Oryctolagus cuniculus: one gene and its partner. Each later gene encodes a partner of the first gene's protein in a complex. Links are inferred from orthologs where the notes say so. Each region holds a gene or a part of one and is shown in the gene's direction. Other genes may lie near its edges. The genes, in order: BBS4 and BBIP1.

Evidence for each region.
Region 2: the proteins of BBS4 (region 1) and BBIP1 are in contact, whole or in part, in a cryo-EM structure (PDB 6VBV), measured with the Bos taurus proteins. The link is inferred for Oryctolagus cuniculus from reciprocal best matches to the Homo sapiens genes BBS4 and BBIP1. Residues at the interface, in NP_001069424.1 of Bos taurus: Leu210, Leu213, Tyr236, Leu240, Ala241, Ser244, Gln247, Thr248, Ser269, Pro271, Asn274, Asn275, Met278, Phe281, Gly282, Lys284, Tyr298, Leu299, Pro301, Leu302, Asp303, Trp304, Lys305, Ile306, Tyr308, Asn309, Leu312, Leu315, Thr316, Gln318; in XP_003587939.1 of Bos taurus: Met7, Phe8, Arg9, Glu10, Val11, Leu12, Pro13, Lys14, Gln15, Gly16, Gln17, Leu18, Tyr19, Val20, Glu21, Asp22, Leu28, Lys30, Pro31.

The regions. Positions count from the first base shown.
Region 1 is NC_091443.1:110,558,250-110,562,070, reverse strand, and holds part of BBS4 (BBSome complex member BBS4), read left to right. Parts: intron 1-1,887; coding exon 1,888-1,942; intron 1,943-2,834; coding exon 2,835-2,903; intron 2,904-3,821.
Region 2 is NC_091446.1:19,349,872-19,352,805, forward strand, and holds the end of BBIP1 (BBSome-interacting protein 1), read left to right. Parts: intron 1-925; 5' UTR 926-952; coding exon 953-998; intron 999-1,775; coding exon 1,776-1,939; 3' UTR 1,940-2,115; downstream 2,116-2,934.

The DNA.
Region 1 (3,821 bases):
GGTCTCCCTGCAGGTAGCCAGTGTCCTGCCTGGTCCTTAGAAGCATGTGACATAATTTTTTGCCCTTTGGTGTTGTCAGCTGTCAGCTCTATGTTGCTTTGTTTTTGTTTTAATAGCATTTTTTAAAAAGATGTATTTACTTGAAAGTCAGTTACACAAAGAGAGGAGAGGCAGAGAAAAAGAGAGAGAGAGAGGTGTTCCATCCGATGGTTCACTCGCCAGTTGGCCGCAGTGGCCGGAGCTGTGCCAATCTGAAGCCAGGAGCCAGGAGCTTCCTCTGGGTCTCCCACGTGGGTGCAGCGGCGCAAGGACTTGGGCCATCTTCTACTGCTTTCCCAGGCCATAGCAGAGAGCTGGATCAGAAGAGGAACAGCCGGTTCTCAAACCGGCGCCCATATGGGATGCCGGTGCTTCAGGCCAGGGCATTAACCTGCTGTGCCACAGCACCTGCCCCTGTTGCTTTGGTTTGTGTCAAAGACAAATGCCAGTAAGGACTGAGAACTGCTTCCCAAGGCCAACAGCTGATTCCTTCCGAGGGCTGCAGTGTCTCTTCTTGCCTTTTTAAAGATTTATTTATTTGAAAGGCAGAGAGAAGTCTTCCGTCCACTGGTTCACTCCCCAAATGGCTGCAACAGCCAGAGCTGTGCTGATCTGAAGCCAGGATCCAGGAGCTTCTTCCGGGTCTCCCACGCAGGTGCAGGGGCCCAAGGTCTTGGTCCATCTTGTACTGCTTTCCCAGGCCATAGCAGAGAGCTGGGTTGGAAGTGGAGCAGCCGGGACTTGATGCGGCACCCATATTTGATGCTGGCACTGCAGGCTTTATCTGCTACACCAAAGCACCAGCCCCGTCTTGCTTTTGTTTAGGTCGACTTCTTAATTTGAGAGCACAGCACTGGGGATCCTGGGATCCTAACTGACACTTCCTGGAATCCTAAATTCACACTGCCTGGTCCTGTGACACACCAGGAACAGAACACAAGAGGAGGTTGTTGTGTGTGGCCTTGAACATTGCTTATTTTGTTAGTGTAACAAAGACAGTCACACACCATTCTTTGTTAGGACTTTGGTCCTCCTTCAAAAAGGCCCTGAGAATGGAGTCTGCATTCAGTCTTGGTACCTTTCTTGCTGAGCAGTCTTCCCTGTAGGTTGGGCTGAAACGACCTATTCTTTCTTGAAAACTTTTTTCCTTTTCAAAGTATTCATTTTTATTTATTTGAAAGGCAGAGTTAGATCTTCCATCTGTTGGCTCACGCCCTAACTGGCCTCCACAGCTGGGGCTGGGCCAGGCTGAAAACAGGATCCAGAAGCTTCTTCCAGGTCTCCCATGTGGGTGAAGGGGTCCAAGAACTTGGGCCATCCTCCATTGCTTTCTCCAGCACATTAGCATGGGGGCTGGATCGGAAGTGGATGGCCAAGACTTGAACAAGCGCCCATGTGGGATGCTGGCATTGCAGGCAGTGGCTTAGCTCATTATGCTGCAGTGCTGGACCCCAATTTTTTTCATATTTATTTGAGAGGCAGTGTGCTCCCCGTCTGCCAATTCACTCCTCAGAGGCTTGCAATGGCCCGTGCTGGGCTGAGGTTAGTGCCAGGAACTGGAAACTTAGTCCAGGTCTCTCAGATGGGCAGCAGGGACCCAGTCACTTAGCTGTTACCACTACCTCCCAGGGTCTGCATCAGCAAGAAACTGGAGGCAGGAGCCAGCTGGGACTGGAACCCAGCTACTCCAGCATGGGATGTGGGTTCCCTAAGTGGCCAAGTGCCCACCCAAGGTAACTGCATGTGCAGACGGGAGTGGGAGTGGGAGTGGGGGCTCAGTGGCGTTGCTCAGGTGTGGCACCAGGGCAGGGTCTCACGCATGTTCTGCTTCCCGTCTCTGTGTTGCAGGTTCTCACCAGAAAACACAGAGCTGCTTACAACTTTAGGGTTACTCTACTTACAGGTGAGAAAGCGCTTCACTCTCCTTCCTGTGTTGGTACTAGAAATGGTGTAGGTGTGTGTGCCTGGTGGTTTTCTTTTATTTCGATAATTAGCGCATTTTAATAAACACCTGAAACACATGAGCCTTGCTGTCTGTGTTTGGTTTTCTTTGATACAAGAATTGATTTTATGCACTCCAAAGAAGAGCAGTTCTGTGTTAGGGTTCTACAATGACAGTTCCTACCCAGTCAAGGAAGGAGCCTGAGGCATCTGCGTGGGCTTGGGCTCCGTCACTGTTGACGGGGCAGCAGTGTCCAGGGCTTGGGCTCCGTCACTGTTGACGGGCAGCAGTGTCCAGGGCTGGGAGACCCCTCTGCTGTTGCTCCTTCCCAGCTAGAGGCTTCTGGGAAAGACAAGGCAAAGTGCCCTCACCTGGAGTGAGGAGTCCCTTCCACATGCCTGCATGGGAGTGGGCTTCTGCCAGCTCTGTCCCTCCACTGCGTAAGCCTCAGGGCCCAGGGGTCCCCGAGGAGCCACCCACCCACCCTCATCAGCCTCCCCAGCTGATGCTGCCCCAGGGTGGCTTTTCTGCTGACAAGGGAATCGGGAGCGTGCCCCAGGTCTCACCGACTTGGCTCGGGGCCCACGGAGAGGAGGCTCAGCAGCTCATCTCGCCCAGCGGCCCTGTGGCCCACGCCGGGAGGCAGAGGCGGTCCCCACAAGCACACTGACCCAGCTGGGGACGTGTTGACAGAATAGAAGAAGAACATGGGGGCTCTTCAGTTTTCTGTGTGTGATACCTGTAGCTTTTTCTCTCCGAAGAGTCAGGATGTTTCTGTCGAGGGTGGAGTGGGCCAGACTCCTTGACTCCGTCTCCCTGCTGACATAAATTCTCTGGTTTGCTTTTTTCTAAGCTTGGCATTTACCAGAAGGCGTTTGAATACCTGGGAAATGCACTGACTTACGACCCTACAAACTACAAGGTACCGCAGGCCGTGAGGCCCCAGAGCCTTCACCCCGATGCTGCCCTGCCCACGGGGCTGGGACGCTGGAGGGCAAGGCACAGCTTCCCGTCTTGCACCCTGAGAACGCAGGCTCTCCTTGAAGAACACGAGAACGGAAAGGTGGCTCTCATGAGGAAGTATTACAAAATGTTGCTGCTCTGCTTCTCACCTTCTACAGAGCACGTTTGGTTTTTCTCCCAGAGTGATGGATGTATTTGAAAGGTAGAGTTAGAGGGAGAGGCTGGGGCAGAGAGAGGTCTTCCATCTGCTCGTTCATCCCCCAAATGGCCGCAGTGGTCAGGGCTGGGCCAGACACGGGGCAGGAGATTCATCCTTGTCTCCCACAAGGGTGCAGCGGCCCAAACACTTGGGCCATTGTCCCCTGCTCGCCCAGGCACATTAGCAGGGAGCTGGTGGGGAGTAGAACAGCTGGGATGCAAACTGGCGCCTGTATGGGATGCTGGTGCTGCAGGTGGCAGCTTTACCAGCTACACCACAGCACCAGCTCTTACAGGGGCCTGCAAAGATGTGAAAACAGGGCCTGTAAGATGGCAGAAGGCAGAACTAGGGGCTGGCAGAGCTGGTGTTCTCAGGAAGTTAGCCAAGCCTCAAAACTACCATCGAAGACAGTTCTCTCAAAAGCACTGTTAGATCCCTGATGAATCCAAGTGTGACTGAGTAAGAAGACCAGGGCCAGCGCTGTGGTGTAGTGAGCCAAGCCTCTGCCTGCAGCACTGGTGTCCTTATGGGCACCAGTTTGTGTCCCAGCAGCTCCACTTCTGATCCAGCTCTCTGCTGTGGCCAGGGGAAGCAGTAGAAGATGGCCCAGATGCTTGGGCACTCACATGCTGCACTCACGTGGGAGACCCAGCGGAGGCTCCTGGCTCTTGGCTTTGG
Region 2 (2,934 bases), on another chromosome or scaffold:
ATTATAACTTGCAGTGGGCAGAAAAGGCAGGCACTGAGCCAGCTTCTCCACTTTATAAACAGTAAATCTTTCTTCTGTGGTGATGTTGTCAAGATGCATGGCAAGACTGCATCAGTATGGTGAAATGTAAGTGTGTGGGACTCTCTGGAGAAGCATCAAGTCTACAACTTTGTCCAGAACACCTTAAACATAAGCAATTAGTAATATGGGGTGAAACATTTCGAGCAGATATGACTGGGTAAGTGGCATATATGCCAGGATATTCCTAACAAAATACTCATGAACAGTATGTCAGTCCTTTAGCTTAATAGTATCTCTGTATTAGAAAATTACTAAGCTGAAAGCATGTCATCATTTAGGTTTTTCAAGAGCCAATTTAACCTATTGTGTTCCTTGCTTACAAACTGCAGCTGTGTAGTCAGTAACTTCCTTAAGATGTTTTTACTATGCAAAGGGGATTGAAAGAACTGTTAACTATTGAGAAGTCAGAATGTTGAGAAATGTTTGCCTACCTCCTCTTCCTCACTGCCTCACCCCACTCTCAAATGGTGGTCATGGGGAGATACTATCAGTGAACCACGGTGGCTACATGTAAACACCTGTTCCACAGCTAGTACTTATTATCACCTTTGTCTAAAATCCTGTAGTACCAGTTTTTCACTGGGAGGGGAAAAATTTAGAACACCCAGCCTTCCAGGTAACACTAGTACTGATTGATCAAAGTTGACAAGCTTTGGCTGCTTGTATAAAAACTATCTCAACCTTGTTCCAATTAAAAGAACCACAGGAAATTAATGGGAAGAGTATGCAGAGATAAAGTAATCCATTTTCTGTACAAATTGTGATTTTACATTTTAAACTATAATGGAAATGATCTCAGTTATGTTTTGGGGAATTATTCCTGAATAATCTTTTTTAATTTTAGGAAAAAACTGTATCCAACAATTCAAAAATGGCAGAAGTGAAGTCAATGTTCCGCGAAGTTCTTCCAAAACAAGGTATCTACATCACAAATACTTAGGACTATCATAGGGACCTAGAAAGTAACAGCAGAATAAAACCTCTGCAGCTATTCTGTTCTTTTATGTCACATTTACTGTCCACTGTTACTAGATGAAGTCTTCAAAAAGTTCATAAAAATGTTTTGTGAAAAAAATGCATGGATTTTCTTTATTGCAGCAATATAAACCTTGTCATTCACTTTTTCACAGACTTTTTGAAGTATCCTCATACAATTTTAACAAGTAGGCTATAAGAGGAGGAAGTAAATGAGGCAGTGGTTCTTATACCTGCAAATCCTGTTACCCAAGATTGCAGATTATATGAAATTTTTAATGAAGTAATTCAATTCAGAAATATCTGAAACTGAGGAAAAAGAAACCAAAATTAAGCATTACAAAAAGCTAGTTTACATTAAGGGTTTCATAACTGGAATAGTTATGTTAAATTAATGTACTTTGCTGTATTTTTATGTACTATGTATATATTTTCCTAAATGTTATTTTAAATTAAACAGCTGACACAAAATGTTGTATATCTTATGGTAGTTTAGTCTTCAGTAGGAATTCAAAACTTGTCTTCCTCAAGACCACTGTAGTGTTAAGAAATGTTGCCTATGGGGTGACTTTGATCTTTCTGCTCCCACAGCAGAACTCAGTCTAAAAGATTTTCACTGAAAATGGTTTGCCTTTGGACTTTAATTCTAGTGCAAGTCCATATCACCAAACAACTGGGTTATCCTTCACAAACTAATTCTTATTTCTTGTCAAACTTAGGGCAGTTGTCTGTGGAAGATGTAACCACAATGGTGCTGTGTAAACCAAAACTTTTGCCCTTAAAATCTCTGACTCTGGAAAAACTGGAGAAAATGCAGCAAGCAGCACAGGATACAGTTCGCCAACAAGAAATGGCAGAGAAACAACGGCAAATAACACACTAATAACCTACCACTTTAGGGAACTAGGAATCACCCTAGCTTACCTACTATTCAGTAGTAACTAGAAAATAATCTGGATCTGTAAACTGAAAAGTATTTGTTAATAAAACTGATATTCATAGAAATACCTGTATTGGTATTGGTATTTCTAAATAAAGACCTATATTGGTGAATTTAAACACTGGTTTGTATTGAACAGTTAATGCTGAAGCAATAAAGTTATTTTTTTACTTAAACCATGTTTTTAAAATTGCATATCATAATTCACCATTCCTGTTGGCCATCAGTTTTATAAGGCAGCATTCTTAGCACAAGTGATTAAATGCAACCTTCTTTATACAGAGGATCATATCAGGCTTTTACATTACCCACATTACAGTAAAATTTACTTGAGAGTAATTTGAGGTTTTTTAACCAATTTTGTGTGTCTCTATCATGTTTATACCATTTTGCTGACCAGTAATGGACAGTAATGGTCTAATGATGAGAAAACTATTTCTTAAACAAATTTGACTTTTAAGAAGCCCTTACCTATTCTGTAATCAACTTAAGCTCTTAATTGTACTAATTTTAAGGACTTAAGAATTACATGACTACTTTTATGACTCAGGTATCAAACACAATTAAAAATCTGGAAATGGTTATCGTGATTATCTATATAAGCCTAAAATAACGTGGTTTTGAAAGAGCCCATGATAGAAACATGAACATTAAATTTGGAATTTTAATTCTAGTAAGACTGAACTAGAATAGGAATAGGTATATTCCTAAGAATACCTCTGTAAACTATTAATGTAATTCTTGGTTGATTTCTTGGAGTTGATAGGCAGTTAAAATTAGCACATACCTTTAGATCTGGCCAAATATTTAAGCTTTGCAGAAGTCAGAAATGTGTTACTTCTTTAGAACTAAAGGATTACTGATGGTAGGTAGTATTTTCTCAAGACACTGGATAAATGTAAGCTTTGAATCTCTGAACACTAATCATTTTGGTCATA